Yarrowia lipolytica: one gene and its partner. The protein of the gene in region 2 binds, or shares a complex with, the protein of the main gene of each other region. Links are inferred from orthologs where the notes say so. Each region holds a gene or a part of one and is shown on either strand. Other genes may lie near its edges.

What was found. Proteins that work in one complex are often made in the same cells at the same time.
Region 1: YALI1_F38998g (region 2) and YALI1_E03183g share a complex: the UniProt entries of both Schizosaccharomyces pombe proteins name them as parts of the core SMN complex. The link is inferred for Yarrowia lipolytica from reciprocal best matches to the Schizosaccharomyces pombe genes gem8 and smn1.

Annotation. Positions count from the first base shown.
Region 1 is NC_090774.1:315,269-321,648, forward strand, and holds YALI1_E03183g (uncharacterized protein), read right to left. Parts: upstream 3,098-6,380; coding exon 2,717-3,097; downstream 1-2,716. Other genes in the region: YALI1_E03158g (uncharacterized protein), read right to left, coding at 301-626, 687-707, 781-796; YALI1_E03163g (uncharacterized protein), read left to right, coding at 1,125-2,453; YALI1_E03185g (uncharacterized protein), read left to right, coding at 3,287-4,480; YALI1_E03220g (uncharacterized protein), read right to left, coding at 4,586-6,380. UniProt on the Schizosaccharomyces pombe protein: The SMN complex catalyzes the assembly of small nuclear ribonucleoproteins (snRNPs), the building blocks of the spliceosome, and thereby plays an important role in the splicing of cellular pre-mRNAs.
Region 2 is NC_090775.1:3,896,670-3,903,058, forward strand, and holds YALI1_F38998g (uncharacterized protein), read right to left. Parts: upstream 3,226-6,389; coding exon 2,839-3,225; downstream 1-2,838. Other genes in the region: YALI1_F38954g (uncharacterized protein), read left to right, coding at 1-1,213; YALI1_F38986g (uncharacterized protein), read left to right, coding at 1,995-2,648; YALI1_F39001g (mRNA turnover protein MRT4), read left to right, coding at 3,432-4,133; YALI1_F39009g (uncharacterized protein), read left to right, coding at 4,264-4,773; YALI1_F39022g (uncharacterized protein), read right to left, coding at 5,235-5,618; YALI1_F39041g (uncharacterized protein), read right to left, coding at 6,222-6,389. UniProt on the Schizosaccharomyces pombe protein: The SMN complex catalyzes the assembly of small nuclear ribonucleoproteins (snRNPs), the building blocks of the spliceosome, and thereby plays an important role in the splicing of cellular pre-mRNAs.

The sequences.
Region 1 (6,380 bases), on a different chromosome or scaffold from region 2:
TTGTGCATGGTGGAATCTAAACCAGTGCAGTGAGTTGACTCGTCAACGAAGACGCAGAAAACATACAACTCCTCAAAAGATATCGCCACTTCTATGGATACAGAAAGCTATACATGTCGCAAGACTCCAGTGTTGCTGAACTATTTAATGACTTCTATGTCGAGCTACCCCTTGACCTCGGCGTGATCTCGCCTACAACTCGTCTCCATAGACGGACAGATCTAATAGAATCGGTATAAATATAGATTTACAAACACATGATTTTTAAGGGCTGCCGTTTCCCCGTGTATTGCCTTCACCCTATCGTCTTCGTCCAGGACTCCTGCTCCGATTCTCAGATCCACGAATTCGATGTTGTGAAATGGAGGTGTCTGCTTCATGGAAGGCGAACGACACCTCCAGGTTGTGCTCCAGAAACTCAACTCCGTTAGTCTCTGCAATAGCTGTATCGGCATCGTCCTTGGTGGCAAACTGGAGGAGAGCATACCCTTTGGCGTAACCAGTTCTTCGATCCAGGTTGACGTGGGCTACCTGGACATCTCCGTATGTGCTGTAGAAGTCTGTGAGATCCTCCTCACTAATTTCTGGATGTAGGTTGTCGACAATGATGATCCATCCCTCCGTGGCTGAGTTAGTCAATGGTCAATGCTGTGGCTATGATGTTGTCTCGATCTGTGTGTACTCACATCGTAGAGGTGTGGGTTCGTCTGAGTTAGTAATGAATGACGCTGTTGTGTTGAAGCGATTGGTATTCCGATCAATGTCTCTGTTCGTACTCACTTTCTGTAATACCCATTGTGTCGTGATGCCGTTGTGTTGGAAATGATGATTTCAAGTCGTCCAGTGTGGTTGCATGAAACTTTCAGGAAGTCACTATGAAACGACACACTTAAAGATCATCAATGACCATATGAGGCTGGTAAATAAAAAATGGCCGTTGCTGGTCGTTATATATCATGACATAAAAGGCTTGCACACAGTTTCAATCTCAACGATTACCCCCATCAATTATGCTTACTAAGCCGATTGTTTTAAAAAGTTAAACTTTAGACCAGCATAATCGTTGGAAAAAAATTGAAACTTGTAACCAGAAAAGCAGATCTTCGATTACCAACACTGATAAAATGTCTTTCACCGATCTAGGCTTGCCAGAGTGGCTAAATGAGTCTCTCTCAAACATGGCTATCACCAAGCCTTCCGCTATTCAGAAAGCCTGTATCCCCCAGATCATGAAGGGAAAGGACTGCATTGGAGGAGCTCGAACTGGTAGTGGTAAGACTATCGCATTTGCTGCTCCCATGCTGGCTGAATGGTCCAAGGATCCCTGTGGTATTTTTGGTCTAGTTCTGACCCCTACTCGAGAACTAGCCATCCAGATAGCGGAGCAGTTTACAGCTCTTGGAGCCAACATGAACATTCGAGTCGCGCTCATCTACGGTGGAGTTGATATGGTCAAGCAGAGTCTGGAACTTCAAAAGATGCCCCATTTCGTCATTGCCACACCTGGTCGTCTGGCTGATCATATTCGAAGCAGTGGTGAGGATACCATCCGAGGATTCCGACGGGTTAGATATGTAGTTATGGATGAGGCTGATCGACTGCTGACTCCTGGCTTCGTTCCTGACCTTAAAACTTGCATGGACCTTCTCCCCGATCCTTCAAAGCGTCAGACTTTGTTGTTCACAGCCACTGTTACCGACGCTGTTAGAGCTCTGAAGGACAGAACCGGTGAGAAGGGACCGCCATTCATCCACGAGATTGCATCAGACATTGCCGTGCCTAGCACTCTTACCCAGTCATATCTATTCCTACCTGGTTACGTACGAGAAGCCTACCTGTGGGCTATCCTCACTCATCCAGATAACGAGAAGAAGTCTGCCATCATCTTCGTCAACCGAACTCAGACTGCAGAGACCCTGAGACGAATGCTCATGGCTCTGGACGTTAAGACTGCCTCTCTTCATTCTGAGATGCGACAGCAGGAGCGAGTCAACGCTCTAGGACGATTCCGAGCCCAAGCAGCCCGAGTTCTTGTGGCCACTGATGTTGCTTCTCGAGGTCTTGATATCCCTACTGTGGAGATGGTCATCAACTTTGACCTTCCAGCAGATGCTGACGATTACATTCATAGAGTCGGTCGAACTGCCCGTGCAGGACGAAAGGGCCAGTCTGTCTCTCTTGTCACTGAACGAGATGTAACTCGTGTGACGAACATCGAAGAGAGAGTGGGTACCAAGATGGAGAAGTACGATCTGATCGAAGACGACAAGGTCGTTGAGGAGTATCTCACCCCTGCATCCACTGCCAAGAGACAGGCCGTTCTGGACATGGAGGCCGAGAACTTTGGTGAGCGAAAGCGAATCCAGAGAAAGAAGGCAGGACTGGACGTTGACATGAAGTCCAAGAACAAAAAGCCCAAGCGTGTAGCCAAGGGCAAATCTGACAAGAAATAAAGGATCCATCTAAAAAAAAGTGCATTTATTACAATATATTAGAATCTAATGGCGATGCGGACATCCTCAACTACTTGTCGTTACAAATATGAGTAGTAGGTAGGTAATAAGTAGCTACTGTATGATACGGTACATATACTTGTACACTTACGAGTGTGAGAGAAAGCAATAAATAATCAATTTTATGGAGTGCCATTGGGTCGGAATGAGTTTAGATATGCTGTGTGGAGTGCACTGTATATAGAATTATGAATACAGGTCCCCTACTTCTTACCTTCATATAATCCCTGGTAGTACCCTGCCCAATACCAAGCCATGACTAGACTTCGAACACTCTCGTCCAGATGATCCAAAGAAGGTCCAGTGGGTGCCGATGCCGATCCGGATCCTGGGTTCGCCATTGAGGTTTCGTCGTTAGAAATGTTGGATATCTCAGCAGCTTCTAACAACTTGTTAGCTGTGTCGGCTGTGTCGTTCATATCCGCATCATCATCCTCTTCTGGCATTTCCTTCTGCTCCTTGTCGGTTCTCATCTCATTGATCACTGCACCTTCCGTCGTGCTCTTCTTATGGTACTTGAGATATTCCTCGTATGCCTTATCCCAGGTCGCCACGAGTTGGCTGTCGTCCCATTGTTGGTTCATCTTGATCGTTGTGTTGATGAGAATTCATGCATTCGCATATTCATTTTGGTCACCTAAAAAATTAACATTCATCTAACTGCAGATGAGATGTACAACAACATATCTGCATCTTCATGAACTGCACGACATCGATATTTACTGATCAACGGCTGGAGAAAAAGTGTTTCATATGGTAGTTTGTGGCAACCCATGAACGGACACGGCAGTAACTTGAAGGACCTGGGTCAGGTACTATTACCAAACAATGAACAATTCAAGAACGATGGTGACTCTGGCGATGGGGAGGAGCTGCCCATGTTCCCGCCATCTGAAAATATTGGGTTGACATTCAAGTCGGACGGGTTGCTCCCTTTGCTTTTCTTTGTGCTGCCTCCGGAAGGAGATCTTCAAAGGAAAGAATTCGCAGACCTGAAACATATGTTAGAAAAAGGAGGAGCTATTTTGGCTCCTGAGCCATCAAACAATACCTACAACATCTGTTACACCGAAGAAACCCTCATACCACAGAAGTACGAATCATACAAAATTTGGTATACTGCTGACTTGATTCGAAGGTGCATGGACTGTCAATGTTTCGATGAGGACATTGTGGAAGCTGAGATGATCCTTGTCCCCAACTTCCGACACCTTACAAATGATTCAGTCAATCATGAAGATGAGTGGTGTCTAGATCAGGCACCCTCATTGAATTGGAGCCCTCAAGACCTGTTCTTCTCCACTGATCTTCTCAGACCAATCATGAGGATCTCAGGGAGTGAGTACAGAAAGTTGATTTCTGGGTCGCAGTTGCAAGCTGACCCAGCAGGGTCACAAGGGACACGAATCGGCGTCGATGGTGTGGACGTGGAAATGGAGGGAAACAACTCGAACCACGCCCCTGTTGTGAAGCTGGAAGATATTATTGACGAATCTACTACACCTCCGCTCGCTGATGCCCTTGTGTTGAATGCTCCGAGGACGGAGATTTTACATCGGCCAAGTCACAGAGCATTGCAAGTTTACATTCAGAACAGGCAAAAATGGCAAAATCTAATCGACCGATTGCCTCATCACGAGGTTGTGTACCTCCAGCGTGTCACTGACTTACTCAGTGGCGACTTTGACGAAGTTTACCACCAAGTATCCTACCATGGTGATGATTACGACGCGATAAACAGCCAGCCTGGAAGGTGGAACTCTGTTCACGACGTGTATCTTACTGATGTGACTGAATCAAAGGAGCTTGCACAATACTCTGTGGAACAAAAGTTCAACCGCAAGAAGTACTTGGAGGAGACTTTGACGGTCAACAAGGTGGCGGAATGGCTAGCCAACTTTCAACCTACGAAATACGGCCATCCTATCCATACTATTACCAGTCACCAGACGCTTACTAACTACTAATATACAATACAATACAGCTTGTCAGTGGTGGATCCGCTGTCTATAATATCAATACAACAAATAATACCTTTTTTCTATACCATGCTATAACTGAACCATCTATAACTAGAATCCCTTCTTCTTCTGCTTGTCGATATGAGCTCTCAGCAAACGCTTCTTCTCGATGAGCGATCTCTTGGCCTTGCCCTGGACATCCTTCTTGTGGATAGTCATCATGAAGTTCTTCTTTCGGGCCTTCTCTCTGTTGGTGGTGGAGTGAGGGGCGTCTCGCTTTCCCTTTCGAGAACCGAACTTTTCTCGTCCTTCTCGTCCTTCCTGGGCCTGTGCAATTCGCTCCTCTCGCAGCTGCTTGTACTTGACAGGTCCAATCAGGCCACGAGCATCGACCTCATCCTCGTTGGTGAGCTTCTTGCCCATGAGCTTGTCGAAGCCCGCCTGGGCCTTGAGCTCCTCGAGCTTGGCAAAGTCAGCAGGAGTGAGAATCTTGGTAGCCATAATGTTCTGGGCCTCGGCAGCAGCGTCGGCAGCAGCCTGGGCCTTAGCAGCTTTGGCTTCGTCGTCGAGTTCCTCCTCGTCTTCACTGTCAGAAATGTTGTACTCCTTATCGTCCTCAATGTTGATCCATCCGGACTCAGAGTCGTCAGAGTCATCATCAGAGTCAGAATCAACCTCCCAAGCCTTCTCATCATCTTCCTCCTGGACCTGGTCAGCTTTCCACTTGGCCAACAGCTCGAGACCCTCGATACCGGTCTGGCCCTTCTCAATACCATACTGGAGTCGAGAAGAGGTACCGGCCTTAGCGTCAGCAGACATAGCCATGGATGCCTCCTTACCTCTATCCTTTCGTGCAAGCATCTCGGGTGCAACCTCTCGGTAGAGGGAAACAAGAGATCGAGCAGCCATAACAACTGCTTTGGCCTTGGAGCCTTTGTAAGCAGTAAGATCCTGAAGAAGGGGAGCCTCAATAGCAAGAGGATTTCGTGCCAGAATCTCACGGATGGTGTTGATACCAGCAGAGCAAACCTCGGCAGAAACACCATCAGAGACGAACTCGTCAGCAATCTTTCGGATCATGGGTGTAATGGCATCAGGGGGCACGAGATCATGGGAAGCCTGCGCGGCGGCAGCCATGATCTGAGTGACGTCCTTCTGCTTGGGGGTGAGGTATTTCAGGAAATGAGAATAGATGCCCAGAACGGTGAGCTTATGTGTGCCGATCATTCGAGACACGAGGTTCATGATCTGAATTTTCTGCTCAAGATCGTATCTATACTTGCATAAGTTTGTAAAGAGCTGGTCGGCAAAACCCTGGGGGTCTCGCAAAAGATGCAGGGCGGAAAAGTTGAGGTAGGTGGCAGACACACCACCGTTACCCTTTCGCTTTTTCAGCAGTTTGTTCATGGCAGACTCGGCCTTTCGTCCTCGCTTTCGGGAGTTCTTGTTGATCTGTAGTCGATGCTTAAGAGCACCGATCTCGGCAGAGGCATCGGAATCAGAGTCCTCGGCGTTAGCCTCCTCTCGCTCCTTGTCAGCGCCAAGGAAGAATCGCACACCAGAAATGGCAATCTTGGCCTCTCCGTGAAGAGTAGCCTGAGCCATGATTTCCACAGTTCGGGAGTCGTCCCAAATACCTCGTCTCCACAGCTCTCGGGTCAGTTTAGTGGCCCACAGACCAGAAGACTCTCCAGTGGACAGAACATTAAATAGAAGTGCTTGGACAGACTTGTTGAGCTTCTGAGCTTTGCTTCCAGTGTTGGCACCCTTGACGATGGTGACAATGTTGGAGTAGATCTGAGTTCGCAGCTGCTTGCTGCCAGTGATGAGCAGAATGGGGAAGAGGGTGGCGATAAGCTTCTCGGGGGTGATGACACCCTTGTTCTTGAGAAGAACCATAGACTGG
Region 2 (6,389 bases):
TCTCGTGGACCAACCTCCTTTTAAGAACACCCCTGGGGGAACCAACATTTCGAAGGTGCACAACAACGATCCCAACTACACCTCGTTAGAGTCGTATCTCGACAACCTGGATGTCGACGCAGTGATCCGAGCAGTGTACCCTCTATTGGAGTTCAAGGACTCCGTCATGTCTTCCCTGGAGTCTTTCTTTGGCGACTCCGATTCTTCTACAGCGCTCGGCATGATGGCATCTTCTATTTCCGACGCTCTTTCCTCATTCACTAACTCAATCATCAACCCAATCATTAATCCCATCTTGGAGGCAGTCACTGAGATTCTACATGCATCTGTCACTCTGCTGTCATACCACGATGATCAGATTGACGTATGGATTAACTCAAAGTCCACCGATCCCACTCATTCTCGACTGTCTAAGGACCATTTTGCAGCATACCTAAACGAGCCTGCTGGCCTCGTGGCTGCAGAGGTGGTCAAATACGTCGTTCCCTTTGTGGTAGAAGCCTGGGAGGATCCCTCTATTGATCCTCAGACTGTTGTGGATGAGGCACTCCAAACATTCCATCATCCTGCTCTTGCACACACCAAGCTGCATCGAATCATGCGGGCCGAGGTGGATCGATGGATTCAGACCTTCTCTGACGAGGAGCGAGAGCATATTCTGGAGGGCCTTACCTCTAGAGGCGTTCTTCATGGCCACAATAATGCTGAGCACTTGGATGTGAACAACGTTACTTACGAGGACCCTTTTGATCATACTGGTAGTGAAGAGAAGGCCTCAACCTTCCTTGATTACATTGATTACTTTGGCTTCTTCAACCAGCAGGGTTCCGGCTCTGGCTCTGGCTCTGGCTCAGGCAGCATGAAGCGGGAACACAAGGATAAAGCCGAGGATGTGGCCAACGACATGGATGCTGAGGGAGCAGCTGACTCGGAAAAGCATCATCAAGACCATGCTGACACGGCCCAGAAGAAGGCTAAGGACAATGCAAAGAAAGGCGAAGCCAAGCATAACGAGAAGGCCAAGGCCAAGGCCAAGGCCAAGGCCAAGCCTAAGCCCAAGTCCAAGAAGTCTAAGAGTCAAAAGACGCATTTCCACGACCATGCTCACCATGTCGAGGACCATCCTGACATGGCCAAGCAGCAGGCCGCTGAGCAGGCTGCCTCTGCTCATGACGAGGAGGGTTCAGCTAGACGAAAACCCCAACAACCATAGACTAGATAAGAGTACCTACATAAGCGTTGTGCTTGACATAATTCCCTCTCTCCAGTGTCAATAAAATATTTAATAGACGACGACTCCAGTGTATACACATCCGATACAAACAAGCATACATATATACATATTGCCATGAACATGGGTATCTCGGAAAGAAAGCGTGACCGGGTTTAGCTCTATAGGATTTACTCTTATCAGCTCATAAGACGGTTGTGTCTCTCCACTCATATCAAGCCATGTTAACACACGGCCTCGAAACGCTTATCCTTATCGACGATTAGAGCTCGTCCAAGGGAGGGAAAAATAGCCGTGAGGGGCAAACCGATCTATTCAGGTTGTTGGTAACTGCCGCCTTTTCTGCACCTGTTTCTCATTCTAGTCTCGCACTAAAATCAACACCCGCTACTGGCAGCTCCAAGCGGGGGGCATGGGTCAAGTATTGGTATTAGCTGCGATAGTGTATGATAAGCCAATTACGACCACACTCTAAAGGGTGGGAGAACTGCACGCGACTCTCTCAAAGAGGGGAATTAGAATGGACTCCTCGAAGCCTTATTCCAACCCGTTCAATAATCACCCAAGCACGGGCATGTATGTTTATGTGTTTTCAGTGTTTCGGAACATCCACGGCAGTGCCGAGATAAGACTTGAGGTATGCAGGAGTGGGTCGAGATGGGTCAAATTTTTATGCGTGTCAATTGAACCCTAATATATATATTTTGGTTCCAGAAAAGCGACCCTACTTTCCGTTTCTACCTTCCGTCACTACACACACACAATGTCTTCCTCGCCCATTCCCTCCAACGTCAACGTGCTTCCACAGACCCGGCAGCTTCTTGGTCTCTACTCCATCATCCGGGACAAGAACACCTCTCGGTCGGACTTCATCTTCTACTCCGACCGAATCATCCGTCTGCTTGTCGAGGAGGGTCTCAACCAGCTGCCCGTGACCGATAAGCTCGTTAAGACGCCAACCGGCGCTGAGTTCAAGGGTCTTGCATTTGAGGGAAAGATTTGCGGAGTCTCCATTATGCGAGCTGGCGAGTCCATGGAGCAGGGCCTTCGAGACTGCTGCCGGTCCGTGCGAATCGGTAAGATTCTCATTCAGCGAGACGAGGAGACCGCCCAGCCCTCTCTATTCTACGACAAGCTGCCCGAGGACATCTCTAGCCGATTCGTCTTCCTCCTGGATCCCATGCTTGCCACTGGAGGTTCTGCCATGATGGCCGTCGAGGTTCTCATTGCCCGAGGCGTCCCCCAGGAGCGAATTCTCTTCCTTAACCTCATTGCATCTCCCGAGGGTATTGCTGCTTTCGCTGAGAAGTTCCCCAACGTCCAGATCATCACTGGTGTCATTGACGACGGTCTTGACGAGAACAAGTGGATCCAGCCCGGTCTCGGAGACTTTGGCGACCGATACTACTGCATTTAAATCCGGTCTCCCTGGAAACAACTCACATACCCTTCAGTATATAAAAACATAATCGTATATGATTGCATACTTGTAATAAATGTTAGCTATGGATCGTTTGTGTGTGTGTGTGTGTGTGTGTGTGTGTGTGTGTGGAGATGATGGATGAGGTGCAATCTAAACTGGTTCCGGGGGCTCGATGCTGGATGAATCAACTCATTGTAGAATTGCCTGGTCCTTCATTCATACCCTCCTCATCATTTGCCACTTCTATCTGTCTTTGTTGTGAGGTTGGATCCAGTGCTTGTATGTTTGTCTCTGCTTTTGCTTGAGCTTCCGCGTGAGCTTCTGCCTGTGACTCTGCTCCCTGTAATACCAGATTCTCCTTGTAGATGCGCAATTCCTCCTTTCGAATGTCGGATTGACGGAAAAACTCGATCTGCTCGTCCGTCAGAGTCCGTTCAACTCCATCAGGATAGAAGCCCAGGGAGGGCTCAGTGTCCTCGTCTTGACCTGCCTCATCAAACTTGATTGTGCCCTGAAACTCGCCTAGATGTTTCTTATGGAACTCCAGCAGATCCTGGGTCGAAATAGACATGTTTTTGGGTGGCGAATGGTACAATAATTGAGTGGCCACTTACACAGACTGCATATTGGGTGTTTTGATTTTGGATGTGGTTTCGATAGAGGAGTATCAAAGCTAATTTTTCTGCCCTCATGCAAAGCCAAAAAAATATTTGCAGCTAGTGCAGATATTTTGGCAGGACTTCCCATCCATCTTCTAACCACACAGCATACATCACAATGCCCAAGTCAAAGAGAAACAAGGTCATCGCTCTCACCAAGGTCGAGAAGAAGACCCGGGAGGACAAGGAGGTGATCGTCGACGAGATCCACAACTACCTCGACGAACACAAGTACTGCTTTGTCTTCTCAGTAGAGGGCATGCGAAACACCTTTTTCAAGGATCTCAGAGCGGACTGGAAGGGCAGCAGAATATTCTTTGGCCGAACCAAGATCATGGCCAAGGCTCTCGGCAAGTCTGAGGAGGATGAGTACAAGGCTGGACTCGGCGCACTGTCTGAGTACATGTCTGGAGATGTTGGTCTTCTGCTGACCGACGAGGAGCCCCAGGTCGTCAAGGATTACTTTGAGTCTTTCGTTCGGGAGGACTATGCACGAGCCGGCCAGGTCTCTACCGTTACTTTCACAATCCCCGCCGGCGTTGTCCATACCACCGGAGGTAAGATCCCCGCTGAGGACGATGTTCCCGTTGTGCATTCTATGGAGCCCACTCTCCGATCTCTGGGTATGCCCACTCAGCTCAAGGCCGGAAAGGTGGAGCTGTTCGCCCCCTACGAGGTCTGCAAGACTGGCCAGACTCTGGATTCTCGACAGACCCGTTTGCTCAAGCACTTTGGCGTCACCAGCTCTTTCTTCAAGGTCCACACTGTGGCCTACTACGACTCTGAGAAGGAGGAGGTTAAGCCCTTCATTTCCGCTTAGATGTCTCGGAACATATTAATCAATCATTAGACACGTTTCAATAGAATAACTATGGGAGGAAAATATTGTAGTTTTACGCTGTATTTCCTTGTACAGTAATTTGTGCATATCTAATTTGTAGTCATTTTCCATGTGGGTTAGCTCAAATTTATTCGACACCTTTTATGCAAGGCGCGGTGCTGTCCATTATCAACCTCAAAAACTTTCGACCATGAGCAAGAAATCGTTGGCCGCCGTTGGAACGCCACTGGATGAGCTGAAGGAGAACCAGACCATCGCCAAGGTCGCCCAGGCCAAGGGCAGCAACATATACGAGGTGACTCTGCCTCAAGACTTCTACAAGAGCCACGGGTTCAAGAGCCCAGAGGTCCAGGTTGAGATGCCACCCAAGTTCAGACAGACCGTGTGGGTCAAGCGGGGTGGCTTTGTTGTTGTTGACGTGACTCCCGATGACAAGATTGCCGGTGATATCATCGAGATCGTGGTGGACGATCGCACATGGCGAAAAATGCCCTACTGGCCCGCCGAGTTCAAGAAGGTCGGTGGATGGCAGCAGGATTCCGACGAGGAGGAGGCCGATCCCTTTGCTCTTCCTGACGACGAGTCTGATGAGGAGGAATACGAGGAGGAGCAGAGTTAGGGGGTGAAGGGGTTCTAAGCGGTGTATATATACTGGAGATGATATACAGTTGGACACCTTCTCTCTGTCACACGACCTGACGCAACAGCTAGACCCATGTCAGAGTCGTTCAAAAACTACAGCATGTAGCTAATCTTTAATACATTCATATAATAAAGCACACTTGCAATTGTACTGTAATGCTTTAAAGTACAGGTACCAACAGCGATAAGCGTGAACAGAAATAAAGAGTAAGCCAACTGCTCTATGTTCTGATACACGCTAACAGTACTTCACGCTACACGACATGGGCACGACTACGAGGTCCGTAACTTGGTATACAAAGACAGGCGCAGATACAATAAATGAGCGGCTACGCGTTACACACGGCTGTCCTCCGCCCGACACCCATCAGGCCCTCTTTTCAACAATATATTCATGCAGCACAATAAATACGATACTTCTATACGTGGCATGCGGGGTTACCACAAGCTCCAGCCGTCGGGGCCTCGTTCCAGCTCCTTGATTTCGGAAATGTCTCCATTGGTGAGGTGTCCGTAGATGTGCGCAAACTTTTCGTTTCGCGATCGCACAAAGTCCCACTGTAGTCGACATCCGGGCTTGCAACCCACGGCACCCTCGGTTAATGGGGCGCCGGGAGTGTCGGGAATGTCAATCGCCAGCAGATAAACGCGGTCGTGCTTGTTGAAGTACTTGTTGAGCGTCTCCAGCAGCTGAGCCTTGGTGCTAAGGTGGATGAAGCCGTCCTGGATATCAAGGGGCACGCCAGGCAGCACGGTTTCGGGGTTGACGGTGCCGTTCTGAACAGCCTCGGCCGGCAAGGATTCCAGAATTTTGTAGATCATGGCTGCGGTCGCTTGAGATGGGTGGTTTTTTAAAAAGTCGGTCTTTAGAAAAAGGCAGACTAATAATCTCCTTGGTGATGTGTAGTGAGGTGGGTGGAGTGAATATCCAAATTAGACTTAGACGGATTATAGTGCGTGGTGCACACACCCGCTGGAATGTGCCTGCTGTACCTTTCGGAAAATGAAAATCGCAAAGTTAATCAGCTCGCTTGTGTAACCGAGCTGTAACTGTATGGACTGAAGTGGGGCGGGTGGCACCAGCTGACACGAGACTCTGACACAGCGAACATTTTTAGGACTACCGACTCGAGACCTTATCAGGAGACCCCAAGACTCTATCCTGCCAACAAGTCTGTTTCAGAGTTCTCAAATAGCTTTCTCCTCTTTGCTGGCTTGCTGCACGGAATAAAATAACGCCCATCACGCAGCATACATATATGGTGTCATTTCCTGTGAGAAGTGCGGTACAAGACAGGAACCAGGCATAGCAGCCAATTTTTTTTATTGCAACACTTGCTTCTATTCAATAATGTACTGTTTATATTATTACCTAGGAGTGGCGTCGATTCCCGCCTCTCCTTGATTTACCCCCACCACATGCAATTAATCCAAAATGTAGTTACCCAACTTGTCCATCTTGAGGTTCTCAATGCCTCGCTCAGCAATGGCCTTCTCGAGGGGATCCTCCTCTTCTTCCTCCTCTTCTTCCTCCTCCTCCTCTTCTTCTTCCTCGTCTTCCTCGTCGTCTTCCTCCTCCTCAATGTCGTGCTC